Lytechinus pictus: one gene and its partners. The protein of the gene in region 1 purifies or fractionates together with the protein of each later gene. This does not show direct contact. Links are inferred from orthologs where the notes say so. Each region holds a gene or a part of one and is shown in the gene's direction. Other genes may lie near its edges. The genes, in order: axin-1-like, low-density lipoprotein receptor-related protein 6-like and mitogen-activated protein kinase kinase kinase 1-like.

What was found.
Region 2: the proteins of axin-1-like (region 1) and low-density lipoprotein receptor-related protein 6-like purify together in Homo sapiens (affinity purification with western blotting; 7 studies listed by BioGRID and IntAct, with this or other methods). This does not show direct contact. The link is inferred for Lytechinus pictus from reciprocal best matches to the Homo sapiens genes AXIN1 and LRP6.
Region 3: the proteins of axin-1-like (region 1) and mitogen-activated protein kinase kinase kinase 1-like purify together in Homo sapiens (affinity purification with western blotting; 5 studies listed by BioGRID and IntAct, with this or other methods). This does not show direct contact. The link is inferred for Lytechinus pictus from reciprocal best matches to the Homo sapiens genes AXIN1 and MAP3K1.

The regions. Positions count from the first base shown.
Region 1 is NC_087254.1:17,709,570-17,720,125, forward strand, and holds the start of axin-1-like, read left to right. Parts: upstream 1-5,753; 5' UTR 5,754-6,119; intron 6,120-8,270; exon of another isoform or gene 8,271-8,506; intron 8,507-8,651; exon of another isoform or gene 8,652-9,050; intron 9,051-10,556. UniProt on the Homo sapiens protein: Component of the beta-catenin destruction complex required for regulating CTNNB1 levels through phosphorylation and ubiquitination, and modulating Wnt-signaling.
Region 2 is NC_087253.1:23,196,378-23,207,321, forward strand, and holds the start of low-density lipoprotein receptor-related protein 6-like, read left to right. Parts: upstream 1-5,531; 5' UTR 5,532-5,711; coding exon 5,712-5,929; intron 5,930-10,944. UniProt on the Homo sapiens protein: Component of the Wnt-Fzd-LRP5-LRP6 complex that triggers beta-catenin signaling through inducing aggregation of receptor-ligand complexes into ribosome-sized signalosomes.
Region 3 is NC_087255.1:28,647,704-28,659,051, reverse strand, and holds the start of mitogen-activated protein kinase kinase kinase 1-like, read left to right. Parts: upstream 1-6,116; 5' UTR 6,117-6,505; coding exon 6,506-6,771; intron 6,772-9,734; exon of another isoform or gene 9,735-10,162; intron 10,163-11,348. UniProt on the Homo sapiens protein: Component of a protein kinase signal transduction cascade. Activates the ERK and JNK kinase pathways by phosphorylation of MAP2K1 and MAP2K4. May phosphorylate the MAPK8/JNK1 kinase.

The DNA.
Region 1 (10,556 bases):
AGCCCTGCTCAAGCCCGGGTAATATATAGTAGGTAGCGATTAGAAAACTTGTATCAATCGCTATATAAATTTTTCCAATTTTATATGTTGTTGTTTTTATTATCATTATTATTATTATTAATACCATCATCATCATCATCCAGGGGCGGATTCCAGGATTTTCCAAAGGGGGGGGGGGCAAATTTTTTGTAGGAAAATTTTGACAAGCAAAAAAAAGGTCTTCAACCACATATAAAGGATATTTCGTACCCGAAAAAATTTGACAAGAAAAAAAGGCTCTAATTTCAAAAGAGGTGGCACACCTCTGTTTTCATGCCATTTTTACATGACAAATTTTTAATTTTGCTTCTCAAGGGGGGGGGGGGGGGGCACGTGCCCCTCTGGATCCGCGCCTGTCATTATCATTATCATCATTATTATTATTATTGATGATGATGAGAAAAATTATAACAAAATCACACAACAATAATAGTAATATTTAATAATTTATTTTAGTAATGAATCTTCGCTGGAATTAAGGTGACATTTGCATTCCCTTCACAAGTAACGCACAAAACAATAACTATACAAAGCTGATTATTGCCTGCCATAAAGTATGATGAACTTACAATACCTACACGATGTATTAATCACAGATACTGATGACGTTGGTTGGACAATAAACTCTGATCTCTCTCAAAGTGTGAATAACAACCAAGAGAAACAAAAACAAAATCAAAAGGGAGAAATGGAGAGAAATCGGCTAAAAGACACAATTGACACCGACATACTCCTGATACGCATTTGTAAGTTCAGATCAAAAGGGCTCCTTAGAAATCGGGAAAAGAAGAGGCGATAAAGGGAGACAAAAGAGATGGACCTTATCAAAGACTCTTTTCTGGAGATCCTTTTCTAAAGCCTCTATCCTCATTCTATATAGTCATATTGTCCGCACGAGGCTCGAATAATTGAGATATCACCGGTGCGGCGCTCTTTCTTTAGAACAAACCTTCTGAAAAGGTCCTGCCTTCCTCTTCCCCCTTTTTTCTAGCCTCCCATCCTCTGCTATTTTTTCTCTGTCCATGTTAGATTTTTTCAGAGCTCCTTTTTACAAGATCACAATGACGGAATGCCAGCGAATCGGGCATGAAAAGAATCTCATAAAAAAAATAAGTTGAGAGAGAAAAGGTCTTATATTATTCGCAGAAAGGAGAAAAGGATTAAAGTCTGCCACTTGACAACACGAGTGAAGAGGGCAGTCAAGCAAAGTGAATTAACTTGTACCACACACAAAAAGACCGATTGGTTATCATCATGCTGGGTTCGCCAACAGGAAGAGGCGTTTACACTCAAACATCAGTGCAGTGTTCAGGTATGTGTGTTCATATTCATAAGTACGAAAAGCAACAACCGCCGCCACCTCCACCCCACCACCACAACCTCCTCCACTACCACCATCACGACTCCAGTGCACCCATCACCATCGCCACTACCTTTACCACCGTCACCATTACCACTATAGGGTGTGTTAGTATATCCATGGTCACACGCTGGATTTGAGCTTAAAAGTTTACTATTTGCAACAGGATTCGAATAAATTTGATTTGGTGAATTAGTTGAAAACTTTCATTCCATAAAAGTGTGATAGAAGTTGATCATTTTATTCAATATTGCAGCCCAAATGATGAATTGCCATTGAATTCACCCAATAAATAAAAATGAATAATTAATGAATATTATCATCATTATTGTTGTTGTTATTGTTGTTATTATTATTAATATTATTATCATTATTATTATTGTAATTATTATCATTATTATTATTATTATCATTATTATTGTTATTATTATTATTATTATTATTTGGTTGGCGTCACCTGTTCCTGGGATGTGATTTCAAAGCAAACTGAATCACAATGATCCGCAGGTCTCTCCACCCGATATGATGGGGGGGGGGGGGGGGCGCAGGTGGTCCAATACACCGGGGTTTCCCCCTACTCGTATTATTCCCTACATGGGGCATCCATTTAACGTCCTATCCGAGGGACGGAGTGTTTTCCACTGTAACATAGCCTGCATCTACTCTCTAAATGCAAAAAAATATTTAGTCCCCAATCACACTCCTCTTGGAGTGATAATTGGGGCCAATCCCTTTGGAGTGAACTGTACATCATTTTTTAGAGTGCATTTAACTCATTTTGGAGTGAAGTGCAAGAAGAGGCACATGCACTCCAAAAGGTGTCATAATGCACTATAAAAGAATGTACAGTTCACTCCAAAGGGAAGAGGAATCGAGATTAGGGAGATTGGTTCATTCGCATTTAGAGAGTAAGGAACAGGGGGGGGGGGGTTACACACAACGCAGGCTTCAGTTATCCGCCCGGGGTGGATTCGATCCAGTCCAGTTTAGTCATTTATTTATTCATCTATCTATCTATTTATCTATCTATCTATCTGTCTGCCTGTCTGTCTGTCTGTGTGTCTGCCTGTCTGTGTGTCTGTCTGTCTGTCCGTCCGTCCGTCTGTCCGTCCATCCATCCATCCATCTATTTATTTATTTATTTATTTATTTATTATTTATTTATTTATTTACCATTATTATTATTATTTTTTTTTATTTATTTGTTTATTTATCCTTGGTCGCGGCTCCTCGTGTCCGATATGGAATCACTGGTCCGCTTCTGCTGCCGGGGTGGGCCTATCCTTCCTTCTCCTTTTCTGCCGGGGCTAGACTCGATAAGCTCTGCTTTTACTAGCCCTGATGGTCACATTAGTTACAATTGTATTTCAATTTTGTTGTATGTTTATCTCTTGTATCTCCTTTATATGTACACGAATCAATTTCTTCTTTCTTTTGTAATTTTCGGTAATATTCTGTAAGGTGTTTAATATGAAATAAATGAAATGAAAAAATGAAAAATGATATTTATTTATTTATGCAGCTTTATTAAAAAATGCAAGGTAATCCTTCGGTGCCCAAAGGCCTGCTTTACAAAAGAGCCCTGTAGACATTGACTTACAGACCTAATTATCAATAGTTTGTTTATACATATCATTTAGGCTAAATTTATTATTATACACATTTACAGATAATGTTGACCCCCGTAATCAAAGTAATATTAGATATAACCAAACCCTTATAAATTAAAGGTGATGCTCAGGGCTGAAAAGAATGATAAAAATCACAAATAGAGTAAATCAAACGAGCAAAGCACTAAAAATTCCACAAAAATCTAATAGCGATTATTTCATATCACAATGTCTCCCTTGCAACAAAATAAGTCGTAGCAATTATTATCTTACACATTGCATCAACAGTCAATCATTTTTTTAAAATACTTGGATGACAAAATTGAAATACGATATAATTTCATAATTATAATCAAATACAAAATTTGCGGGGATGATAATATGAATTATAATAACATGCAACATTTATATATCGCTTAATACAAAGGTTTCTAAGCGCTGCATATATACTATTACCCCTGTATTATTATAATGACATCATCAGCTTGTCCATTGCATAATCATGAAGATAGGCACAGAAACTGTTCTACAGAAATAATGTCAAAAATGAAAATGCCAAAAATAAAAATGCCATAACTTTGTTATACCTTGTCCGATTTCTATGAAATCGTTGAGCGTTTTATTAATTTTGTCTGATTTTATTGTATCTGCTCAAATCAAATTATTTTCAGCCTGGAGTACCCAATTAAGACAAAAATGTCATTTATACATCAAAATGTATCATGACAAAGGAAAAATAAACAAAATGCAATTCTCCGTAAGGTTATGTTCGTGTATGTGAGGGTGTGGGTGAGTGTTGGGGTGGGCAGGGATGAGTTGCCGTTTTCGGGCCTTTTCAAATCCGAATTCATGCAAGGGCTTATTTCTCCCAAGACCGTTGTGAACAATATACTAGTAATTACCAGTCATTAGGCACATATCCCATTTCCACTTTTCATTCGGGGCCCTCATTTTCACCCTAGCTGCATCCGATATCAACGTGGGGGTGCTTTCATTGTATACTTGGCTGGAAATTAATAAACATTAATTCAGTTCCAGTCAGTTATATAGCTTTTATCACTTTAATCAGCGTATTTCTGCGATGATGATTGAGATTAGTTTTAGATAATGATGTAATCTTCCAAAATTGCGAGCCCTTGATTGTTTTAGCTTCCAACGTTCAAAGCCATGCACATCTCTCACTAAAATGGAAATATTTTCGATTTCAAATGTTATAATCATCGAAATCCACAAATGGTTCTAAACCAGATAATAAAAGCTGAATTAAAATGTACTACAACCAGAAGCGGGAGGGTTCATGAAATATTTGCGAACCTCAGATCTAGGCCTGTGGATTGGCATTATTTTTTTCCAGTTTACAACAAGACGAACTCATGACAGTAATTGGTAGGATATGGACCGATCATGGCAGGACTTTATGGTGTATGCTCTACATTCCAATAAAATATGGGACAATGTGTTTACACTCGGCTGAAATCATGTAAAGACGAGATAACAATACATTCCCTCCTTTTGTTGGAAGCTGAACAGATCGAATAAGAGAGACAGAAAGAATAGTTGGGCGGACGGATAAGAGGCGGGTGAAGGTTAGGTGAAAGAGAGAAATATTTGATGAGGAAGGAGAAAGGGGGAGGGGTAAATATATTTTTTTTAAATAGAGAGAGAGGGCAGAGAAAGTACGAAGCGCGTCAGGAGACAATCAATAAAAACATATTTATTCATAACGTTTATAAAAACGAGATGAGTAAACCATGGACCTATGCATAGGTCCATATAAAACAAAGGGGATAGCCCGAGAAAGGTATATAGGTAGGTAGGTTGGAAGGTATAGATAGATAGATAAATAGATAGATAGATAGATAGACAGACAGACAGACAGACAGACAGATAGATAGATAGATAGATAGATAGATAGATAGATAGATAGATAGATAGATAGATAGATAGATAGATAGATAGATAGATAGATAGATAGATAGATAGATAGATAGATAGATAGATAGATAGAGATAGATATAGATAGATATAGATAGATAGATAGGTAGGTTGGTATAGATAGATATAGGTAGGTAGGTAGACAGATAGATAGATAGATCGACAGACAGATAGATAGATAGATAGATAGATAGAGATAGATAGATAGATAGATAGATAGATAAAAAGATAGATAGATAGATAGATATAGATAGATAGATAGATAGATAGATAGATAGATAGATAGATAGACAGACAGACATAGATAGAGATAGAGATAGAGATAGAGATAGAGATAGAGATAGATAGATAGATAGATAGATAGATAGATAGATAGATAGATAGATAGATAGATAGATAGATAGATAGATAGATAGATAGATAGATAGATAGATAGATAGATAGATAGATAGATAGATAGATAGATAGATAGATAGATAGATAGATAGATAGATAGATAGATAGATAGATAGATAGGTAGGTAGGTAGGTTGGTTGGTATAGATAGATAGAAAGATAGATAGATGGGGAGGGAAAGGGAGAGAAAGACAGGCAGACAGATAGAAAGAGGAAGCGAGAAGAGGATGAATATTGATAGATCTGAGGGGAAGGAGAATAGAGGGGAAGATGTGAAGAGATGAACAATAGAAGCAGAACGTTGAATGCTGCGGTATATATGGAGGCGATACGTTGAATTGGCAGGGCTTCGTGTCGGCATAGATCACAGAGAGTCGGCTTATTTTTATTGCTCGCGATAAATCATTAACACCCGTAAAGAGCGGAGTAATGAAGGCGGTATTCTCGCTTCGGTATCCCCGCACTAACAGTTCCGCGGTTCAACTTATTGTACATCCCCAGTATCCCCCCTCCCTGTAATATTCATGCCATCGTTTGTGATAGACGATTCGCCTTCCGACTTCATTCCTGCTTATTCATTGGCTTAGGAGGAGAACAGCGATCTAGAGATTCTATTTCTTTCTTCAAAAATTAATCGTCTGAGAATTATTTGTAAGAAACAAATTATTTACTATAGACCTACCGGTCGAGTATATGAATCTGAACACAGGAATTGAACATCTATAGCTAGACGGTAGACCCTTTATGTCACCGTTTTAAATGAGTCAGTGACGAAATCAGGTAAAGTCATATTAACCAAATATGTTGTTTCCTTTTGCCACCGGTATACCTCGTTGTTTCTGGCGATTTATTTTTGTTAATGATAGTTTAATATTTTGATTTATTAAAATATAGGACCATTATTTTTTGCTTGATCGACTTCCCTTGAAAAAAAGTGGCGAAATGAGAAGAAAAAGAAAAGAAAAAAGAGAGGCCAGACGTGGCATATTTTCCAAACAATATATGAGCGTGCCAATCGAGTGATTTTTTTTTAACTTTTTAATAAAAAAATCTTAATTTATGATTGAAAGGTGATGTATTTTCTTTCACCTACCCCCCCCCCCCCGTATCACACCCGTATACCAGTGCTTGAAATACTTGCGGATAGGCTATTGCATTTATTGTTAAACCTCATTTAATTGGTATATAATTTGTGGTACACTCAAATGATTGTATTGTTCACGACTGCTATATATATGCTATATATATGCTATATATATTTCATTATGTAGGCATATATCTATAAATTAGGCTATTTGGCCTAGAGGAAGAGAGCGGTGACTTTTGAGGTTTTCCCATAAATTCAACACTTTTTTCAAACATTGTTTCTCTTAAAACATCATGAAGTCACCCCATTGAAAAAATTATCTTTATACCAAGAGACCTATATATGCTATGGATATTTTTGTTATTTTGATTTTTTTTATTAAATTTATTCATTCATTTATTTATCTATTTTTATTTCCACTCATGGATTGAACGCTCTTATTATCTAAATGATGTTCTTTTAAAAGTGTTGTAATTGTTAATATCGGTGTCGATTCCAGCTTAAAAAATGAAGCTTCGTTCCATTTTTGGTGAAGGGAGGGAGGGTGTGTCGATGCGCAGGGACTTCTAAAATCCTCTTATTGCAAATTTCCAGAAAAAATGCCGTAAGATAAATACTCTCTTTTCAACTTGAAAAAATAAATAGAGTCTTTGTGATAAGTTTAGTTGCTTTCCTTGCTTGCTAATATGCTTTAAATAGTGTAAGGACTACCTTTTCAAAGAAAGAAACTAAAGAAAATTCTCCATAGAGCCTTTTTTTTAGTCATATATCTTGACCAACTGGTGATGGGGAAAGGACCCCAAATGTTTGTGATTATGATAATGTCTGAATATTTGAAAATGTTTGCCTGTTTTATCGCTATCGTATAATTTCAGAAATGTCAAGTATATCTATATTGGGCCTCATTTTATTTTGCTTCAGCATAATATAGGCCACATGAATATGTCAGAAACTTGATTACAAATGATGTTATCCCCCCTTTTAATATTCATATTTGGTATTCCTGTATACCACACTTATCACAATCACAATTGAATGCCAAGAGTCATAGAATGAACGCCCTGTAAATTCCAGGCGAGGAATAAAGCCAGGAGAGTCCAGGTTGTAAAAATAAAATACAAATAAAAAACGACGGCGAGTCATCACAATTGTAGCCAGTGAATTTTTACTGCCTGAATAAATCTCGACTGTGCATTTATACGACGCCGCTCTCCTAGTTTTCATTGTAAATAAAAGCGATGGACCATGTCATCAGTGCAGGAAGGAAGGCCAGGGAAAGAAACAAAATTAAGAACCAAACTTAATTTAATTTCAACAGACTTTTTACAAGAGGGTGACGGTATTTTGAAACCTCTAATCCAAACTATTTTAAAGGGATGTCATGATGTTTGTTGAATATACGAGAAGAGATATTCCTAGATGTATGATGTATTAGAACACTGATAAAATCCCATGCATCCGTGTAAATCAACATTTCTGCCAGGTTCAGAGATAAAGAAGGAAAAGAGCCAGGGTTAGGAGAAGAAAAATCTAATCATTTCTCACGCTACAATGACAGTGTGACCTGTTATGTTACAAGAGCAAACTTTTAGACTTTTAGATGAGTTTTGTCTTCTATTGAAGTTTTATTACGATAGTTTGCCTGTTCAGCCGATACAGTTTATCACATCGCTATTTATCTTATTGGAGTTTTCTGTGTTGCGTAACGCAACGTGCTTTGAATATTATCTATACCTTATCTATTTACGATTTGGTGAACACCCCTCTATTTCCTAGTGGAAGTGGTCCAGGCAACTTAATGAATTGCATTCTGATTGGTGCGGCTTGTCGTTTGTGTGTACGTCACTGCCCTTTGGGAGCTTTTCGGGCGGCGGGCATGTGCTTTGATGTTTCATGCACTTTGCAACACTGAGAACTTCCTAGGCCCTGTTTGTGTGTGTACGTGTGTGTGTATGCAGCATGAGCATCCAAAGTGACTTGCCATTTTATGCCCAGTTTCGCCATGCCTAGCGTACGAACGGTTTGCTTGCATCGAATCTGATCAGCGGTGAACATAATATTTCATTCCAATGATTAGAAGGTAAGGAAAGTGTGCAAGTTTAATCATATTGAGGAATTTTAGGCTAAAACTCAAAATTACCTTTTCATTTCCTTTAAATATCGTGTAACGATATGTTGCATCAAAACACGTTTAACTTGGAGTTGGATTGGACGGTCCGGCATGCACCACACATCGCACTCCCGTCCCGTGGCTTTCTCGGGGCGCTTATTTGGACCATGGATGCATAGAGCGAGACTACGTTACGCTGGCTCCATCTGCATGGCCGTTGGCGTTACTTTCTGTAGCTGAAGTCTGGACCATAATTCAAGAAAACTCTGCCCAAACTGGATTTCACGGATATCTACTATCTTGGATTATCACACAAGTGGATCATAAATAAAGCGTAAACAGAATTTGAGAATAACTGGTAAAACAGTGAGGTTCGATTTGTTCTTCGCATAACCCTGGACGTCGTGCCGTGGTACACAGTCAATGCGTGGTGGGCGCTATTTTTTGTAGCGCCGATCTTCGAGCTGCATCTTGTGTATCCGCACAATAGAGATCGAGAGAGCATGTATTTTGTGTAGGTTTAGGTCTCCTCAGTAGACTCTGGAGTATGTACTAAAGTATTAGACACAATTACAGCATAAATGCCTAGTATTAGTAGTAGTGGCACCTTGATTTGAATTTGAATGAATTGAAGTTGTGTGTTCACTGATCATTATTATAAAAAAAGTGTTCCATGGGGGACCATGCCGTTGAGGCAGAGGATCATGTTTTTATGAATGATCTCCATCTGACCAATCTTGTTCATTGAGGAAATCAATTCACCCCCTAACATATTTTTATATTAATGCAAGATCTCAAGTGCATTGTAAGAGTTAAATTATGTTACCTAATTTTAAATAGGTCATTATCTGCTAATTAAAATACTCGTAATAATGAATTCATTGTATTGTCACAAAGTGGTTTTTGATCTGGTGTAGTCAAATTTACCTTATTACATGTATCTACAAATTGAGCAGGGATAATTATGCAGTGAGCCAGTGACTTTGTTGTGGAACGTGTCAATTTATAAAGTTGTTCTGAATGGCATTCCATTGTTGTGGCGATTCCATTTGTGTCATATGGGACATTTAGAGAACGATATGTAGTCTTTAAACTGAATGCTTGATCAATAATTTTTTTTTTTTATGGCAATGATAAAGTTGAGCTAGTGATTTGTTTTTATTGGTGAATAAGAGGTGAAAATATTGCATGTCATACAGCAGGATTCCCAGCCCATCAGGGAAAATTATTTTACTCTTTTTCCAGTCGGAAAAATCAGGGAATTTGTTAAATATATTCTGAAAATACATGTTATTCACTGCAACAACTTTAAATAGAAAACATGCAAAACTGGGAATGGGTTTAAATAATTATCAGGGAAGTTTTAAAGTTCATCAGGGACAAACCACAGAATTTTGTTTTTTGGCAAAGCTTGGAACCCAGAAATAGAAAATAATAGTAGGCCTAACGAGTTGGCGGTAATAGTCAAATATGACTGGTCGCCATTAATATCCAACAAACAACAACAACAACCTGTACAGGACATCTCTGCGTCCAGTACGACAAGCGATATTTTCACCTCTTATGCACCCATGGAAAGATTTTTTTTTTTGGGGGGGGGTTGTTATTTTTTCACAAGACTACATGTACCATGTAGAACTTTGTTATTACCACAAAACAAATTGAAGTTCCTTGTTTGTTTGGACAGCGGTTTAGAAGAATTTGTGAAAATGACTAATTTTTCTAGCATGGAATCACCCTTGTAGATCAAACATTAGATTAAACCCTTTTATTCTTGCACCATATTACTCTAGGAAAAAGTCTTAATTTCGAATTCATAAGAATTTCAGTGTCAAAGACCTTGACAATTAACCAGCTTTAAAGACTTACGTTACTATGGGTTTCCTCGTTGCACAATATCACAGTTCGTTCTCTCTCCTTGAACTCATTCTCTCAAATATAAACAATTTACAAGTCAAATCATAAAGATAATAATAATAACCTCATATTTACCCAGAGTAACCACAATTTCCAAAAACTG
Region 2 (10,944 bases), on another chromosome or scaffold:
TGTAAACATGTTCAAAGGGCTTTGCTTATATAACATAATATTCAATGAATAATTCTACTCTCCACGTGCTTACAATATATTGGGTGGATGTTACAGAGAAAATAGTAGGTTTTCGCTTGTTTTGTTAATAATTGTACTGAAGGAAATTAGTTTTCGATGAGAATTTGTCACTCTTACATGTATTTATCCCTCCCATTATAATCTATAGTGAAGATGATTATGATAATTTTGTATGCTAATGAACCGCAACAACATCAACAGCAACTAATAATAATGATAATAATAATTGATTATGCAATTAAATCTAAACATGATGACCATGTTTGATTGATGATGATGATGATAATGAGGATGATAATGGTGATGATAATGAGGATGATAATGATGATGAGGATGATAATGGTGATGATGATGATGATGATGGTGATGATAATGATGATGGTGGTGGAAATGGTGATGATGAATGATGAAGGTGATGATGATGATGATGATAATATTGATAATGATGATAATGATGATGATAATGGCAATGATGATGATGATGATGACGAATGATGATGGTGATGATGATGGTGATGATGATGGTGGTGGTGATGATGATGATGATGAAGAATTCATGATAACGAAAATGATAATGGTGATGATGATGATAATGGTGATAATGATAATGGTCATGATAATGATGATGATGATGAATGATGAAGGTGATGATGATGGTGATTACAGTTGCTGCCGATTACCTGCTGATATAGGCCCTAGGCCTTAATAACTGAAAATTGAATGGTAGATTATATGTAGCAAAAGTAAAGAAGCATGGAGGTATAGTCTCCATGCATGAAGTGCTTACATGGCATTACAGATTTAGATGTACATTTATTATAATGGAATTAAACATGAATGTAAACATGTGTACACATGTAATCACCTTCACGTAATTGTTTCATTTCATTCTTCTACTCATCTCAACAGGGTGCTACATAACTTTTTAGAAGCGCTTGCCCGGTCGGGCAAGTAAATTTTTTAATAGTTGGAATATACTTGCCCAAAAATCTGTCAGTTGCACGAAAAAATCCTTGAAAATTTTTTACCTCTTCAAAAAAAAGTTTTGCGGTTTTATAAACCATTGACCTTTTTCTCTCTTTTGACATGAACTGATCTACCTTGTTATTGCATTTCTTTTTCCAAAGTGATTTTATCTTGCCTGTCATGACCAAAATTAGGGTCAATATCATATCGACCCTAATTTTGGTCATTCTACTGTGAGAATTTTGCTTTCTACTGTGTGAATTTTGCTTGCCCAATTCGGGCAAATAGTTTTGGTCTTTACTTCAAAACACTTGCCCGAATCTAAATTTTACTTGCCCCGGGCAATTGGGAAAGTGCTTATGTAGCACCCTGTCTCAGTATGCCAAAATTTAAATGCAATCTGAGAGGACACCATTTTCCAATTTCCATTCCAATATATACTTTTTAATAATGATTATCACTTTAAATTTTAACCATTTAGGCCTAATGCTTATAAATCAAAGCTACGGTATGTTTTTGTTTTACGAATTAGAGCATGGTCATTATCAATCACTTTTAATATAGGCCTTCGTATACATTTATATGAATTTTACCAAGGAGATATACATGTACTACATGTACATGTATGTGGAAACTTGTATCTCAGCTCCGTGATTTAACCATTGAATAGTTTTAAGGCATTAATTAGACAAGATGTATTTTTTTCTTCATTTTTTAGATCATGGTCAGTTGGTCATTATCAATCACTTAGGTAATTGAATCGCCATTATGGCTACATTATGACAAATTGTGTTATTATATATTTTTTAGAGGCAGCTGTAAACCAAAAAGATTTGACAAGATTTGGAAAGATCGTCTCGAGAGGGTTATTATAGCAATACCTTCCTTCCGTGGACATCGTATGAAATTAATTTGGCTTAATTTGGAGGAGTATCGTCTTACAGAGAAGCTCTGGGTAATTGATTGATTGCAAAGCATTTGAGCTGAGAAAATGGGAAGTCCATTCGTGAGGCCCCATTAGGCTTGCGTAATTGAGAAACATTCATCTTTGGTTGGAACCTTGTTTTATTGTTCGTTTTGACGAGTAGTTGTTTGGTTTCTGGCAGGAAATATTAGAATGACAGTATGATAAATGGGTTTGAATCCCTCTATTGCAGCAGTGATTTGCAAAAACAGTTACTTCATATTGATGTTTATTTTCATGATTCTCTTGATGACTCCTATTAATCATAAAGTCATGTTAAAATGATATTATTCATGGAAACTATCATGACTATTTCCATAGTTTTTTTTTCTCCTACTTTAACCTCAATTTTTAGTTCATGAAAAAAAATCTTGTTTTTTGTAATCATGCTTACAGTGTAAATGGCATTTGTAATTTCATGTATCCACAGATCTGTATCCTAGGAAAATAATTTTAATCTCTTTTGTGATTTTGAATATTTTCTCCTTTCTGCCAAAAAATTTGAATTCAGTTCATGCACTTAATTATTGCTTTTACTGGTACCCTCCTTAATAAATTTCAAAAAGAATATTTTAACACCTGTGACCTGTTTCCCCTTTTTTAATTTTATTTTTGTTTATATAAAAGCCACATTACTACATGTAGATGTAGATGTACAAGCCTATACATGATTATTGTGATATGATGAGTAATCTGAAAATTTGTCCATGGCACTATCAATTCCGCACCATGTGCACTATTTTGAAGAAAAAATCACCTCTTCTACATGTATGCTACTAGACTGTTCCCCCCCCCCCCCCCCGTTAACAATTTAAAACAGCTAGAAATGTGTTGATAATTTTGCATGCATGTGAGATGTACATGTAGGCCTACATCTATAGTACCTCCTGGGATACATGCATGTTCATACAGTAAGATAAATCCTCATGTACTCTATATGTATGGCCTAATAGGCCTATATAACATGTATACAATGCTATTTCCTCCGTATTCTGTGGAAGGCTATTGTTATGAGGTATTTTCTTGAGAAAAAAATGAAAGACTAAAGTCACTTCAAGCAGTGCACAGTAAGCCGTCCCCTTTTGAAAACCCTCCCTAATGAGCCAGGGCTATTTGGAGGTGTTCACTTGCCCCCCTCTTGGGACCAAGGGGGGCTATTCAGCACCCCTATACCCAGTAATCAGGCCCCCATTATGACCCCTGTATTGTTGTTGGGGAGAAGCCAGTCAAGATTTTGGGGCCTTACACTGAAGCACCATAGCCCACCAACACAAAACATGTTGAGATTGTGTGTGTGTATTGGGTCAGTATTCCAAAGCCATTGTGGTAAGGTGGACTCACTTTGTATACACACAAATACCACTGCATGGGGTGAAAAGCATCGAGTGGTGTGTGTGTGTATATGTGTGTGTGTATTGGAGGGCATTATCAAGTGCATGTGTGTGATTTGGTGGTATACAGTGAGTGGGTGCATCATGGAAAGATTGTTGGAAGAAAATAATGCTCTTGTGAGTTCTGTTCAGAAGGAGTTGATGTATTTATTTAGGTCAATAAATGGTTGACCCATTATGTTGGACAACCCTTCCATTGGTAGGGGGGGGGGGGTGAACAACTCAACCATTAGTATTATATGTAAAGGGGGAAATATTTGTTTACATGGAGCTTCGATTTGTAATAATTTAGAACTACAAACTCACTTTAAAGTTTAATATACATGGTAGTATATGGGTATGAGAACCAGGGATAAACATTTTTTTTTCAGCACATGCTGTGCCTGAGAAAAATATTATGCCCACATAGGTAGGCCTACATATTTATTTTGACCAGAACAAACTGTCATGTCAAATCAAAATACATCCACTATTAAAAAACCCCACTTTTTAAATTCCATATAGTTTTAAAGGGGAATAATATTGCTAACCCTCTTTTTTTCCAGGAGATTTACCGAAAGTTGTATTAAAGAGAGGCTGAAACCTCTATTTTTCGTTGCATACCATACTGCACTCTACATGTATGTTGGCCATTCATAATGCAAAACAAAATTATTAAAAATAAATAAATAACATTCAGTCATTTTGTGCATGCAACAGCACCGATCCTAATTATAGGCCTATCAATTGAGAAAATGAGTGTCATCATAGCAAACTTTTGCACTATTAAAGAGAAATTCCAGTAGTTGCAGTAAACACTGATTTCATGAGAAAGTCTGTAAAACCAGGCTTAATTGTCAGTATATCATCGAGGATCTAGATCTGGTACAGTTACATACATGTAAACTGAACTTTGTGAAATCTTGAAATCTACGCTGAAAAATGTTCAGACTGAACTTCCCCAACACAGATAAGCGCACGTGGGACTGTGTATAATTATTGCTTTGAGCGTCGGGCCCGACGCTCTACCCGAATCCTGTGCTTATTTGCTGATTTCTCAGCAATTACACAATTTCTTCCAGAATCCTTTGGCATATGCGTTTTATTTATACAAACAGACACTTTGGTGGTCATTTCATTGGATTCTGTACGAACTCATTTTGATATTGTTACCAAAACTAGCATTTACCTTTAAACATGCATTCAATTTTATGCATTGCAGTCATGTTCTGTTTCTCAAGAAATGAATACTTCAATAGTGATATTACGTTTATTCTAAGAAAATCTTCTGGAGTACATGTATTGCGGTGAATTCCAGTTGTATTCCTGCAGGCTGACATGTAATTGTACAAAGGAGTTTGTAATTGTGACCCGAGTGTGCTTTAATGCACTCAATACAATATTTTATAAAACAAATATTGTATTACTTTTATTTAGATAGAAGGGCCACATACACTGTATGTATGTAAATTATTTAAAAAATGATGACTTTCTGAGTTAACAGATGACATCCTCAGTTGCATCATGGAGCTATTCACACAAAATAGCTCCATGGTTGCATTGAATGGTTTTGGTTCATAACTTGGGAGTACAAGTTTTTTATATATATATTTGTATGGCAATGAGATAATAATAATAATAATAAGCAGTTCTTAGAGACACATAATACCATGTAAATAGTCTCTATGCGTGTAGAAGAATTATTGTTTTCTATAGGGCTAATACATGTATGTGTTTCTTAAAAAGATGTGTTTTTATTAAACACTGATTTGAATCTGTTGAAATTACATGTAATCACTGGCTTTGATGCAAAATTTGTGACCTATTAAAAACTGAAATTTTTTTTTCTTTGTTATTAAAATTTTTGTGACGTACATATGTGAAATTCCAAATTATTATTAATGCTAATTATAAGATGCTGACACTGAGTAGCCACAACCCTGAGTAGCCATACATGTATGCCTTCTTGTAGGCTTACATGTACATACTCAACTGGTATCATATTCTTTTTATGACAAACTGATTTTGTATGAATTTATGTTAACAAAAAATGAAGAAATTTGTGAAATGGAAGAAAATAAATGTTCATATGGAAAAAAATATTACGAACAAAAGAAACAAAGTTAAAATATATTCATTTGTTCTTTCCCCCTACCTTATCTACAGCAAATACACAACTCCTATTCGCAAACCGGCGCGATGTACAACTCCTCACCGTGCCCGCTTCCAACTTCTCACAGACGTCTTCCGTCACCGTCGTCGAGGGCCTCCAAGATGCCGCGGCCGTCGACTTCCTCTACTCGCAAAATCTCATATTCTGGACGGACGTTAGTTTGGAAGCAATCAAAAGAATGTTTATTAACGGCTCCGATGTCGTCGAGGACGTTATTACGACGGGGCTCGTCGCCCCGGATGGACTCGCCTGTGATTGGATGAGCCGAAAATTATATTGGACTGACGCTGATACAAACAGGATAGAAGTCAGTGAGATTGATGGGAAATCAAGAACTGTTTTATTTTGGAAGGATTTACATTTGCCGAGAGCAATAGCGTTAGATCCGGAACATGGGTAAGTGTTAAAAAGCTATCTTTGATTTGAATTGATTTGATTTTTTGTGTCACATTCCGAAATAGTGTATTATTCATCTGTAAGGTAGCATCTGTATAAAATAAAGGTAAGGTAGCACCATAAAAATACATGTCCATGTACATGTAGGTCTAAGGCCTATAAACATTAATTATATGGTGAATATTGACAATCATAATGTAGGATGGCAACCAGAATTTTTATTTTATAGTTCAAACAATATTTATCACTTCACCGTACAATCACTACAATGTACTATGTAGATTGTAAAAACTTGAAGATGACCCCATGGATCAGCTGTGTTGAGACGGTCCCTAATGCCCAGGCAGCATTTTCCATATTCCTCACACCAGGCTCCTCCATGGGGTACGGCCCTGACGTCCTGGAAAGACCGCTGGTTCCTGGATGGTAGGAAAAACACTTCCCAACTGGGGCCATGTCGGTCCACTCTGTGTAAAATAGATTGGATCTTTTACAGTAGGCCTACATGTATGTACAAATGTACTTCATGAGGGAAAGTTTAGTTCTCTTTTGACATTAAAAGAGTGTGCATAGGTGCCTGCTACCACTTGCACACTACAGTTTTGTTTTTACAAAGCTTTTGCACTTCCCAACTTGAATGATGTCCGTCTACCTTCTAGCCTACATGTACCTATTGGTAGGCCTACATGAACACTTGAAGAGGAGTAGGCCTAACAAAAAGTTTTGTAATGATAAAGTGAAAAGTCACAGGTTTGAAAAACTGTGAACCATTTAGAAAGCTGAAATATATAGGCCTATGTATTGTTATTCATGAATATAGCAAAATCTTCCGAATTTGTAGATCTAGATGTAAGCTGTAATCAGCAAGCAGTTAATGCTGTGGCCTGTGGGTGACAAGAACCACTCACAATCACAGAAATTGATGTACATGTACCAGACTACAAAGTATGCAAATGTTCAGAATTTTTCTTAGTTCAGATAATTTTTGTCATTGAATATTTGATTATTTGAATAGCAATCCTTTGCATCGTAAATCTCTTTATTACATGTATGTCTCCTAAAATGAACAAACATGAAAAGAACTTGAAAACTCACATTCATTGTTTTCACTTTTTTTCACAACAGTAAAGTTTCTCTTTAAGCTTTGGACACATCGTGGAGACAGTTCAGTAGTATTTTAACGACTTTATGACAACTAATTGCAAATTGTCCTTGGTGCTTAACTGGTCATTCAACCAAAGGGATGTCTTGTTGATTACCATTCAACTCAAAAGTTTTATGGTATTGTCCGAGCAATTGGTCACATAAAACTCCAGAGTGGCAAATACGAGATCTACTCAGTCTACTTTTAAAGGGAAATGCAAATATGCATTCAATTCAGTTCAGTTTTAGATTATAAAACAATTTTTTTGTAGTAGTTGAAAGACTTGTATCACTCAGTGTTTACATTTAAAAATTATATCCAGACCTAGATACTTTTTAATAGGCCTACATTTGAAATCATTATACATACCGTAGTCACCACATCATCCACATCTAGCTTTTTTTGTGTGTCAAATATACACAAGGAAAAGACAGAATGGTTAACGTTAAGAGATTAACCACTTCAAATTAGTTTTGAAAATATAACAATGATAGTGACGACACTATGATAGTGTCCATGAATACAAGAACCTGGAAATGTGCAAGTTTGTCAGATCTACATGTAGGAAATACTGTTTTCATAAAATATTGATAAGCTTTTATAACTTCAGCAACATTGCAACCATTTCTTCATCAGATCTTTCTAGAGACCTGTGCTATTTCTTGCGATCTATTCAAACTATTGCTGTTTTCAACAATGATGTATTAAACAGGCAATGATTATTATAAAAGCAAGTTTGATTCAAGCTTTTTAGGTCAAAAGAGAAAAGCTCTCAACTATTATCAAAGTTCTGTACAGTTGGTAAATATCTGCTACAGCGTCCATAAAAATAGTTTTTGTGTCGCAGTCTTTTATGTGGAGCAAATTGTGATGCGATACCAAGAAAATTATTCCTATTCATGTGCATAATAGGTAGACTAGATAGGCCTATTGCTCGAAACATATACAATCTTGGAGATGTATTGAACTGTATTTTACATACACGTACATCATTAAAAACTATAAAGCAATGGCTATAATTTTATAGGGCATTTTATACATGTAGGATTTGTGTAGTGCACATATCCGTCTTGTTACATTTAGGTGCTCAAGGCGCTCCTATACCCTGGCTATAAAGCTAGTCAACCGATTCCGGTGCTCACACTTTGATAGTTCCCAAAACTCTTGAAATAACAACCGTACATGTATGTATAATACCAAAATTTATGAAAAAAAAAAGCGACCATCAGATAATATTTACACCCATATTGGTCATTAGAAAGATCTGTTTAATTAGTGGACTGATAGGTCTTAGTTTTTACACAGAATGTGTACTGTAGGTCTAAGTATGCTCATTCAATATTCAAGATTCTTTTTACATGTAATTGGTCATTGTACGCATACAAAGAAATTTGGTTTCCAATGGCTTTAACAATGAAATATACACAAAGATGAAAATACACAACAGTATTGGAGAACTTTACATGGAGAACTTTACATGTACTCATTCCTTGGTAACACTTTGGTAACACTGTGCTGCAGGCCGCAGCACAGATCTGTCCATCTTGTGTGAAACTAGGCATAAAGGTGGCTTTGGTCTAATGGCTAGTGCCTGGAGGCAAGACTAGCATTGACCTTTGACCTTGAGTTTGTCTGCTGAGCCTGTCAATCAAGCATTATTAATCTGTCAACCTTTGTAATGTTGTTCTTGGCACATTCACTGTGCTCTCATTTTTTTATGTGCATGTCTTGACTTGGCGCTGTTCACACCCCTCACATACAGACACAATGTTCCACTGGCACGTTCACATCCCTCGCTTTAGATATAACGTTCCACTCCACGACGAGGCCTATATTATTCACTTTTCCTAATTTCCATCTTCGGCATTCAAATTCAAGGTTCAACTTTCACAAATTTGTATAGTGTTCACACCTTTATGTTCACATCAAATTTATACAAAAGCTTGCATTGAGTGTTTGCGCCTGATTTTTCTAGTTTCTACAATAGGCCTCCCCCTCCCCTGGAAATTTTAAGGGGTAGGGTAGCTGGTAGTAGAGCCTGTGTTGCACAATTTTTAAAAATACAGAATACAAAAAAAATCTTTTACCAAAGGGAGGGAGGATGGGGGGGTGGGGGGGGGGCAAGGTCATGATCACATGCATTGTACATTAATATGACTTTAATACTGGATCCAGCACATATTACATGTGTAGCTTCATAACTCCATGCCTGCATGATGATGTATTGTCAATATACTTGATTTAACTGTCTGAAAGGGTCAACGATCCTTCCAAACGAAGTGAACGTACCCCATAGTCCTTCACTCATTCTCCTGCTCCCATAACCTTCATAACTGTTGATGTATTTGTCATGCCAGGAATTCACGGGTGTCAAGCCTTATTCTCTCCCCTGTTCGTCACCTCTCATTCATTCCCCACCCCCTCCCCATCCCCTTCTTTCCACTAGGTGTATTCAGACAATGATTTTACTAGCCATTGGCTAGTAGTTGGGCCAGTGTTATTTTGAACCCTGTCCATATGTGTGTATTACAGTCAAAGGCCCGTATTCCGAAGTCAGGTTTAACTTTAATAGACCATGTACTCTGTGCTAAAATTATGGGAAGCCAATAGTGTCAAATTTTTTTTAAATTTCATATAAAGTTGTATGTTTCTTATGTTTACTGTGCTCTTTCCTGACTCAACGATGGTGAAGACAATCATCTATTTATACTTCCTAGACAATTATGAATGATTTGAGACCCAAATGAGCTGAAATATGATATCTCTAGTGCTGTTAGTGATTTATGTAACAATTGGCAATCCATAATAAACCACAACTTTAAACCTGAGTTTAAGTTAAACCTGAGATTAAAGTTAAACCTGACTTCAGAATACGGGCCACACAGTGTTGCATATATCTGAAAAGCATTCTGTGTTCCCATCAGTTATTTTCATTTCTGTTTGTACAGTAGGATTCATGAATTAGGCTTGACATCCCAAGTTCAAATTAATTTCATGAAATTGGTATGACGTCAGAAACACGTACACTTGTGTACATTGTATGGAAATTATTTCTGCAGTCAAGTACATGTTGAATACACATGTCTCCATGGCCTTGTCGTTTTTCCCGAATTGCCACGAACAATATGGGTGCAATTTTTTTTTAAAATATATTTTTTGTTAACTAATGAAATAATTATATAACCATGATGAGAAAGGCACACGTAGGCTTACTGTACACTTAAATGCAAATGACATACACTGTACATATGTTCTCATAGGACCCCATGGAAGGCCTGCATGAGGCCCACATTATCACATCTCCACTTTCCTCTCCCTAATAAATGTTCTCATCCACCCCCTATGTTCTCCTGAAACCTCTAACCAAATCATCTCTATCTTCCTTCCTTTTCAATGTTCTCCCGAAACCTCAAGGACCGCATCATCACATCTCCTCCTCCCCTCTCAGTAATAATGTTCTCCTGAAACCCTGAAGACAGCATCATCACATTCCCACCTCGCCTTCTCCTTTAATGTTCTCCCAGAACCTGGAGGACCGCATCATCACATTCCCACCTCCCCTTTCCCTTTTAATGTTCTCCTGAAATCTAGAGGACTGCACCATCACATCTTTCTCCCTTTAAATGTTCTCATCCATCCCCCCTCTTCTCTCCCTACATGTATAATGTTCTCCTGAAACCCTTAGGACCGCATCATCACATCCCCTCCTCCCCTTACCCTTTAATGTTCTCCTGAAACCCTGAAGACCGTATCATCATATCCCCACCTGGCCTTTTCCTTTAATGTTCTCCCAGAACCTTGAGGACCGCATCATCACATCATCACCTCCCCTTTCCCTTTAATGTTCTCCTGAACCACCTCAAGGACCGCA
Region 3 (11,348 bases), on another chromosome or scaffold:
GGAGTATTACATCTTTTACAAAATTAAAAATCAAAGTGAAAATTAAAAAAAACCCTTCTTCCTCCACTAAATTCTGTAGATGTAGGCCTAGTTTTTCTTGTAGGATGGGGGGTCGGGTGTCCGGACACTTTATATTTTTGAAGCCTTCTTTTTTGTCTTAAGATTACACTAAAAATATGAATTCAATAGTTGTAATCATCTTCTATTTTGTTCTCTATAATATTTTCTAACATTTTGTACTAAAAATTGATGAAACTTCGCTTGTAATTTTTTCCAAATGACTTTCTAAAATTGATCGTCCGGACACACAACCTGTCCGGACACACAACAACTGCGTATACAGTTGGTTTGGTAGTCTATGTAACGTTAAGTAGATGTCTAGTGCAATGTGAAATGTCAAATGAGATGTCAAAATAATAAAAAATATCATCACGAAGTCCTCACTCAAGGCCAAGGCAAGGCTAAGTAAGTAGAGCCTGCACAGACATCACTTGAGGTAGGCCTAGGATCTATCAACGTACACTACACCCATGTGAAAGTAAAGTGTCTGATCAGATTCATACATTTATCGACAACCTAGGCCTATGGTTTGTTAGTTTAAACTAAAATTGTTTACATGTTTTAGTGTTAACTTAAAAAGTGTTGCACTTCAGAGGCTGGCCTGTAACCTACCTTACTCGTTTAAGTTTAACTTATTGCAGACTTTGAAAGTTAGATCAGATAATCCACCATCATGATCAATACAAAATAGACAAGGAATCATCCATGACTTCCAGAATTCCATCCATTTTTTTATTGCCAAGTTTCTTCTCACGTCACTCAGTTGCAGTTGTGCTTGCTAGCATAGGTACCGGTACCGACGGGCTGGCCGTTTTGAACTTTGACCAGGGAGGGTTGTGTGGGTACGGTAGCTATTCTTCCATTGTCATTGAACAATCTACAGACTGTACTACGCAACACAATAGAGGATTCTTAACTCGACAAGCACCGGTATATTTACGGAGACAGTCGCGCACAGATATCCGCTGGAATCCGGAAGCGAGCTTTGTTGTTGTCACGTCAACGCCAAGCCGCACAGGTGGATGTACAGCGCCATGTTGCACCCGTTAATTTGAGTATCGCAGGGCGATTTCATTCATAATAATAGGGGTGTACTTTTACTTTGCGAAAGAAAGTCGAATACTCGTAATGTCGACAGATGGGGAGGGGGGGGGGGGGTAGTTTAGTTTAGTTTAGTTTACTCCAACGATGTTGTAGGACTAAGCATCGATCAAAGTTGAATGTCTAAATGCTGCTCTCCTTCAGACAAGAAAATTAAATGCACTACTTGTGTTATATTGGCAGGGAGGGTGGCAGGGGTATCGTGGACAGCAACAAATTCTATGAAAAACACAAAATCGAAAATCACAAATTCTAGTAACTTTGTAATAAATGTTAAAGGGGAATCCAGCCTTGACCATAAAATGTTGTGTTGGGAAGGAGAAAAATAAATTAAACAGAATGGTGAAAGTTTGAAAGAAATCGGACAAGCAATAAGAAAGTTATAGCTGCTTTAAAATTGAGATCACTAATAGTATGTAGATTTCAAATTGGCATCTGGGTAAGTAAATTATGACAAGGGGCAAGGACAACTTTCCCATAGGCCATGTACTTTATTATCAGGGATTTGTGGTTTTTCTCCTATAAGTACCCATTCCCCTGGGGCAGTAATCTAAATATAACCCAGGTAGTATATTGTTTTATGTCCTCATGAAAGAAAAATATAATTTGAAATAAAACTTTTGGGAAAAATGACATTTTAGCCATAATATGTATTGGAGTACATAGAAGAGTAGTCCTTGCCTTACATCACTATGACATCCCATATGCGGCCAATTTGAAGTCTCCATGGGTGTAGTGATTACCAATATTTACAACTTTTAAAATTTTATAACTTTCTTGTTGTTTGTCCAATATTGTTCAAACTTTCACCTTTCAACTTTGGGTTGGATTCCCCTTTAAAATGAAAGTACTTATTAAAGGGGAGTCCAACCCAAATAAAATCTTTAATAAGGAAAAGAAAAATCAGACAAGTTGATAGGTCAAAGTTTGAACAATATTGGACAAACAACAAGAAAGTTATGAAATTTTAACAGTTGTAAATATTGGTAATCACTATACCCATTGAGACTTCAAATTGGCCGCATATGGGATGTCATAGTGATGTAAGGCAAGGACTACTCTTCCATGTACTCCAATACATATTTTGGCTAAAATTTCATTTTTCCCAAAAGTTTTATTTCAAATTATATTTTTCTTTCATGAGGACATAAAACAATATACTACCTGGGTTATATTTAGATTACTGCCCCAGGGGAATGGGTACTTAGGAGAAAACCACAAATCCCTGATAATAAAGTACATGGCCTATGCGAAAGTTGTCCTTGCCCCTTGTCATAATTTACTTACCCAGTTGCCCTGAAATCTACATAGTATTAGTGATCTCAATTTTAAAGCAGCTATAACTTTCTTATTGCTTGTCCGATTTCTTTCAAACTTTCACCATTCTGTTCACTTTATTTTTCTCCTTCCCAACACAACATTTTATGGCCAAGGCTGGATTCCCCTTTAACTTCCAGAATTTTTTTGGGGAGGGTTACTTGTAGTAGGATAAGCAATTTCATGAAATCTGGTGCAAAACTTTGATTATATAGAAAGTCGAAGTTTTGCTCATATTTTAAGAAACAGGGACCCATGTACGGTCATGGTCATACGCATATTTTGTTCCCAGGGGGCAAGAAGCATATTTTTTTAAGAAGCTTGTCATGGGGTGTTTTGGCATTTCCTAGAGTACAATTGAGATCATGTGAATGTAAGTTTTCAAAATTTCTTGGGGACAACTGCCCCCTCGCTGTGTATGACATGCCCTTGACTATGGCGCATTTGCCATAATGGCAACTTTCAACCTTCAATCTTCATAATGGCAACTTTCAATCTGGCTAAATTTTGTAAAATAATTATGCTTCGCTTCTGATAGAGTAATCAAAGAATAGAAGTATTCATTTATTTCGTTTTATTTGTCTTTTAATAATTTATCTTGATTACTATAGATATAGATACATATGTATTATTATTTTGATAAACTGTTTAATTTTTGTATTTAGTTTGCTGCTGGTGCCTTTGTACGCATCATGTTTTACTTTTTTTTCTGTTAATTCTAAAATTTAGTAATTCAAGAAATAATTTATTTATATCTTATTATAATATGTTATCATAATATTTCAGTGAAATATGTGGGTTTCTTGTTTGTATTTTTTGTTTATATATATTTTATGTAAATATGTTTAAAATTCAAATGTTAATATGTTTCAAATCTTGTAGTGTTCTCCAATACCCGTTGGGGTGATCTGAGAATAAATATTACTGTCATTACTGTCATACGGTACACCTGGCTCAGCAGCCAATCAGAATCAAGAATTCCTACTGTTGGTAAGCTATGAGCCCCAGTCCCGGGCCCCAGTCTATTTCTTCTGTTCAGTTGAAATTAAATCTTTCAAGATTTATAGAATTGATATTAAAAATGAATTCTCCCCCAACAAGAGAATATATGAAATCATGAATTAGTTGTCTCTCAGTGTCCCTTATTTTCACGTATAGTAGGTATGTATATTTATAACCGACATCACACACAAACACATAGGCCCGTATTCTGAACTCAGGTTTGAATGAAACCCTGGTTTAAAGTTGAGGTTTAACTATGGAGAGCCAATTCGGGCACAAATCCCTATCAGCACACATCCAATTTATTAACTCATTTGACACTCATATTATCCATAATTGTCTGTGAATGATATCTGAAGTACTTTCCGTCATTATAAAAGCAAACGAAACCAAAATAGTAAACAAGAAGAAATATTATAAACAGGATTTGTATATTTGTGGCATCCCATAATTTTAGTACAGAGATAGACCGTGGTCTAAGTTAAAACCGATTTCAGAATACGGGCCATGGTGCCGAAAGATGGGATTTTTGATTTGATTTGATTTATTTTTCTTCTGCATTCATCATTCGTATACAATACAATTTTCATTACGTAACAAACATAATATATCGGTCATTGATTTTGGTATGAATCATAAAGAAAAAAATATAAAATAAAAAAGTCATTCTAAACACCAACAAAGAAAATTTAACATTTACAGTTTGCAAGAGAAGGATTGCCATTATAAGCAGATTGCTTGAAAAAAATGACAACACCAAGTCAGTCTTGGGGCACTTCGCCCCCTTAAAAAGGCACGGCCAAGAAGAAAACTAAATGAGGAGAAAAGGAAATACAAGGGAAATGGGCTCTGAATTATGTCAAACTCAATCGAAAAATCAAACAAAAGGTCAGCATTTTCTCTCGCTCGTGACTTTTTCAGATTAGAATTTTCTGCCCGCTCAAAATTATTTATGCCCAGGACTATTTTACACAATCCTGAGATTCGCTCGGAGATCAAGAACAATTTGGAGTTATATAGAATTAAATTTGCTTTATTAATGGAATGTGATCGAGCATTTATCCACATTGGATGAAATTTTGTTTAAAGAAATCAAGATAATAGACCTATATGCCCTCTTTATGGAACATTGACCCATTTACATATCTAATTAATTCACATTTTATTTCATTTCTTGGGGTTAATTTATTATGGCTAAATTGCCCCCCGGCCCCGAATCTCCTATACTTCATACTGCATATAATAAAGAAAAATATATATCTTAACTTGAGCTCAAGTCCTGCCCCACCAGTGAGTTGAATAGCCAACCAGGGGCGGATCCAGGATTTTCCAAGGGGGGGGGGGCACATTTTCCCGAGGAAAATTTGACAAGCTAAAAAATGAATTAAAAAGGGTCCTTGCTTTTAATGGCTGGGGGCACACTTTTGTTAGAACGGCATATTTGTATAAAAAAAAAAAAACATTATCCCTCTCTCAAGGGGGCGGGGGGCACGGCCGGATGTGTCCCCTGGATCCGCCAGTGTATACAGCCAACGATATGACATTTAAATTTTCATGATAATCGGATGTAAAAATAAAATGAAATATGGCATTTTAACATAAATTGGTATACAATGCTGAGTCGATGATCAGGCCAGGGCCCCGGGAACGATTTTGAAAGAAGGGGGGGGGGGGGTAGTTTTGAAAAAAAAATGACAAGCCAACTTTCGTTCCAAAATGAAGCTGATTTCGGTCAGAAAAAAATTACAAGCAAAAAGTAAGAGAGTTTCGTTTCAAAAAGGTGATTTTTTAATCAAAATTATGGATTTTATTTTTCCCAACCTGGTGTCCAGCCAGGTTGCTGCCTATGCTGAACAATATTCCCAGGGCTATGCCGATGATCACACACTTACACTATTTGTTGTATTCCTTTGAAATACCTTTTATTTCACTTTTTATTCATTAAAAGTTAAGATATGAGATTATCATGATTCAGGGCAAAAGGGCTTCTTTGCTATCAAACCTCAGTTAAAAAAAAGAACTTTGATATTTATTTGGATATATGGATTATTCACAGGGAGCGACTGACAAAAAGTAGAAAATAACGAAAAAGAGGGAGAAAGGCCCGGGGCCGGAATTATGCAGTCTATGCCGTGTCTGCAAATGAAAAAAAGTGGCGTCACTTTAAAATCGCTTGCCAAAGATCCCCGACCGAAATATCCTGCCGCCATCTCCGAGTGTTTGGCATAATCAGTTCCATCTCTTTTCCAACGTATGCATATCTCTATTGTGAAATTTATATTGTCTTTCTTTCTTCATTTTACTAAACCTTCATCTTTGTTAGCCCCCGATTTAGCCGTTAACATGTATCGGGCATGTATCACATCTTCTCTATCCACCGCATATAACATTCATGCAAAATAGTCGGCAATAGTCTTCGAGCTGTTTGCTGAAATATTTATTGAATTATTGATTATTGTAATTTTGCCATGAGTCACCGCGACACCCCTCCCAATTTGGCTTTCAGTGGGGTGCGCACTATTACCACCCCTTTGCTCGATTTGGAGTTTTCCACCAACAAAAATACCCCGATGATGTCATACACGCTGCTATTGTTATGGGAAATATTCCCGGCGGTAGCATCGCGCTGGCAAGCTGACTCTATGCGTAGGCGGCACAAGAGACTTGGACTTTGTTACTGGGTAAACTCCTTGGTAATATTCTCACCACAAAACGATTGATGCAGAAATTTGGTTTGAACAATGCAAAGTCTGACTGAGTATATTGTTATTGTGCTGGCGGGGTCATGAAACCACGTGAATTTTCAGCGCGAAAACTAGAAAAGGATTAAGAAATCTGACTGAGTTTTGAGTTGGACAGGTGGTTTCAGGATTGTTTTTACTTTATTTATGTACATATCCGATCGATTTTTCGAAGTAAATTTGAATACACTGAAGACTGGGTAACGGTACAATCTGCTGTGAGATTTATTATAGAAATGATTCGTTTCTCATCGTGAACCGTTCCTCAAAATTGGATTTATACCATGGAAAAAACAGGAGAACAAAGACCTCACAAATCGCGATCAAAACGTGGCGAATCTGGAGCTGAAAGTACGCGGGAACGAGAAGGCTCAAGTTCTGGATCGGGGGCCATTCGCAAGTCTCGCCGAAGGTCGGGGGAGCGATCACGTTCTCGCAATAGGAGGAGGAGTGGAAGCTCGGGTTCTCAGAAATCACCGACTGATGATGGGGGCTCTGTCGCCAAACATCTCCCGGGAAACTCTACTTCAGTTGAGCCTAAACAAAATGGGTAATTGTTTTTTTTTTTCACTTGATAAACTTGTAAATTGATATTTCTTATAATAAATATATAAATATAAATGTTTTTTTCATTATAAATATCTGGACAGTCATTATTTGCACGTAACAACACAGTTTACAATTATAGGAAATTCACCATTATTCTACATGTATGTACCGGTAATATAATTTATTAACTAAGAAATTCATACTCTTATTCTACAATTTTTTATAACAACAACAACAATAATTTGTAAAATATGCTTCAATGAAAATCTTAATCAAATACTTATTAACTTCAAGGTAGGTTTTATTAATTTAAGGTTTTAATTTTATTTTCAAGTGTAGGCCTAGTACAATACAGCTGAAGAGTATAATTCCAAAGAGCTCTCAGTCATGGAGTGGGCTGAAAATATATATTTTTCTTTGTACTTGGGGGAAGTGGAACTGAAGTTATTGGTTTAATTGTTATGTATTGTGTTGTTTGGATCCAAAGATGCCCCGCCCCCTCAAAGAACAAAGCATGTGTTCTCAAGACAGACCTTATTGAAGCCTGATTGTTACCCCCACCCCATACTGTTCAGTTAGACTGATAACCTAACTAAAGGTCAGACCTAATCAGTAAATGTTTTTGTTTGTTTGTGTGTTTGTGACAGTGTTGTGCTCATGTAGGTCAGAGCATGATACCTTCCCCCCACTCCCCTAAAAAAAGGAGTTTAAATGTATACTCTTATGGGGCAGTTTGTCTTCTGTTCAACAATCACAATCATTTCTTGTGATACTGATCTTGTAAACAAGTCTTTGATACCTTGGTCACATTTATTCTACAGCGGCCGTACGGCCAGTCGAGAACAGCCGTTTTAACATTTTTGTCCTACTATATATAGGTGGTTTGAATTAAATTTAATAAAACGGCTGTTTTCTACTCGCTGTACGGCCGCCGTAGAGCAAATGTGACCAAGGTATAAATCACCAATTTATTCCAGCTCAGTATCAAGTTTCTGACAAGAGTATTTGTTATGCAAATGCTCCTTGTATTGAGTTCATTGAAGACATGGTCTATAAACAGGTCACCTTTGTTTGTTAATCTCTCTGAATTAAGTACTCCCTTTTCCCCATTCAGCCCAACAACAATGATAAAACTGTTTCTATGTTGAAGTAGAAAGATTGTCTGGGCCTTTTTGTTTTCTTGGCAGTTGTATCTGGTGATATTTTTAGTTTTCAAAATAAAATATACATGTATTGTTTGATTATTACAGTACATGTTCATTGTACAAATTTGTCCCTCTTTGGCTTGTGATATCCTTTGTGTGAAAAATTCTTTTAACTTTCATTAGACTGTTTTCTTATCTGGTCATGTGTCATGAGGTCGCGTACTTTTGCTTTTGCACCGCCTTAAACTTGAAAGTCTCTCTCCCCTATCCTATATTTTCTGAAAGGATATTGCTCAATGAACCAAAATAAGCACTCAGAATTAGCATTTTATGTCAGGCATAAGTGTTGTGTTGAATAGAAAAAGATTAATAATTATTTTAACCTCATACATGTAATTGTGATCATAATACTTTGTATCAGACCCCCTTTGACCAATATAATCATATTTATGTACAGTACAGAGTCAGATCTTCCTAACAATGTTTAATTTTAATATTAGGTTTATGGTCAAGAAATTGCTTCAAAATCAACAACAAAATAAAGAAAGAAATGTACATGTACGTAATGTGTGTGCTATTTTGCCTGCATTACCATTGCATGGTGGGTATATCTGCTGTGTTCATCTGATTTAAGGTATAGAATGATTTTTAAAAATCTGCACGTATTGTTGGACTGAATTTCTGACAATTTGACCTTAGATCTATAACAAAACTTTCATCCTACAGATTAGTTAACTAGTACAGAATAGTAGAAATCACATTTTCTGGTTTTTACACAAAAACTACATTTAAATTAAGAATAACTAAAGAAAATATGTGCCAATATGGATGAATTGTGAAAAGTGAACAATTTGGACAATTTTTTTATTTCTTTTTCATTTCAATGTTTTTTACCTTGTTTTTTTTTAAATGACAATGACATTGCCAAACTTATTTTTCAATCAATGAACAGTAAAACAAGAATGCTCTAGCTTTAATATGATACCAGATTTGTTGTTGGAAGTTAAGTTTTCACAAAAATATTAACGTTTTACCCAAAATAGCACAAAATATTGAGAATCCCCATTGAGTTTGTACAGGTGGCACCTCTTTTGGCACCGCCCCTGGTGCTTTGTCATTTTAAAGACTATGTACTGTAACTCAAGTTCTGTTTATCTGAGAGCAATGAAACTTTCTAGAATATTAGCCAATGAATTCAGCTTCAAAATGATACCAAACTTGTTGGCATAGCACCTTTGGTTTTGAAAATATCAATGAATATTAACTCAAGAAATGAACCAAAAATATGTAAACAGCACCACCTTTTTGATGGGCAACCTACATTACATGTCTGACACATGGCCATTTTCAAAATTAAATTAAAAATGTTAACTCTATTTTTCTCTGTTGGATATTTGTCAAACCATTACCAGTACCAACAATTTTCTATATATTTTTTCTTTCTCTTCAAATGAACATACATGTACATGTATCAAGGTGAATTTTCTCTTTAACTCATTACAAATAAATGAAATGGCCCAAGAAACTGGAAATAGGCATATATAGGCTACATGTTGGCTCAACTTGTACAAAAATTAGAACAGGGAGATAGAGAGAAAAAAAAACTTTGTTTGCCATCTGATCATCCCAAAATAATTCAAATTTTTATAATAATTATTTACAGTTTGCTTGATCTAGGAGGTTTATCTCCCTGCCTGTTCAAGTTCAACACAGGTGTTTTACAACTAATTATTTGACTATTCAAAAGATGCATTTCCTACTTAACCTGAACATTCCTGCACAAAAGGTAAACAAAACAGTGATGTGTCATTCAACGGCTGAGATCAAAGTACATTCAATCCCCAGTAGACACCCACAATCCTGCTACTGTCAGGTGAAACTCACATGCTCCAGTGATTTTGTAGGCCTAAATCCACAGCTGCGGTACAACTCATTTGAGGTAGTTTGAGGTACATGTATTACGGTATACAGGATAATTTGCGGTTGGATTTTAGATCAGTACACTTGGGCTTTCCATAACAGCTGATGACATATTCATTCTGTGACGTACTTGTACAGTTATGAGTAAAGTTTAGGCCAATGATAGCTTACACACAGGAAAAGTGTCAGTTGTGTTGGGACAGTTGGTGTACTAATGTATTAGTAGTACTTTACGGAAGAGAACTGAACTTTTTCTATGTGAAAATCTTTGTACATAATTTGCACTTGAGGAACCATAAATTTGGATTTATTCTTGTTCCAGTGTTGGTAAGTTACTGTTGGTAAGTTACTGTGTAAATGGATATTTGGTTTAGGTTAGAGTTGAATTCTGTATAATTCTTGGATTATTAGAGAATGGTTTAGGCCAAATAGTGTTTGTGTTGTTGGTTGTGTACATAAATTTTGATAGACCTGCATCTTTGTACGTAATATCTAGTGATTGCAATTGCATGGGAGCCAATTGAGATTGCAATGTTGTAGTATCATTAATCAATATTAATATACATGTAGGTCTAGATTGTGAATTTTTAAGATGACTTTAGGATCATATTCTTGTACATATGTATAACATGTACTAGTAGTAGATGATTTTAATACTAGATGAATAATATACATGATGTAGGCCTACATGCAGGCCTACATCATGTAGACTATGCTGTACATGTACTGTAGGCTTTATTGCAATGTACAGTATCTATCGTCATACTGGCAGAATGAGAGACATACTTTGAAAGCCAGTATTTGCATGTATAGGTACAAAAACACTGTAATGTACTACCGCAGTACTTTTAACTGTAACATGCATGAAAGTCATTAGTGCATAAATGATACCTGATCACTGATACGGGTAGATTGATTGATTATCCAAACATGAATACCAAGTATTACGTATGACTCATAACAGTGGGGTAGGGTATGTTGTTATCCCTCAATGGTAAAGTACTTTGAGTATGAGTAATTGTATTGTTGAGCAGTCTCAGTAGGTCTCATGCATTTGAATGAAGTAAAGGGTTCCCTTTGTTTTAAAAGTTTCAGCAGAGATGTTATCTATACTAAATTTGAGGCCAAAAGTGTACATACTTGTACACCCATGGAATTCAGTGAAATTTGTTCGCTTGCCAAACATCGTAAAATTTACTATATCTGTAGAAATTTAAATACTACCATGACGAATTTGGTATCAAATGAAAGAGCATATTATAGGCCTAAAGCTCTTTCACATACACTGTAATTGGGATGCCGTTGGGATTAAAGTACATGTATATTTCAGCTGGAATTTTCTTTGAAGAAAAAAAGTACTATTCGTGTCAAATGTATTCTATTGTTTGTTATTATATTTTCAAACATTTCATAGAAATATATAGATGTCAAATATATGATTTATATTACATTTTCTATCATTAAATGTCACCACTGAACAAAAAAGTGTTATCTGAAATATTTGTGTTGAGAA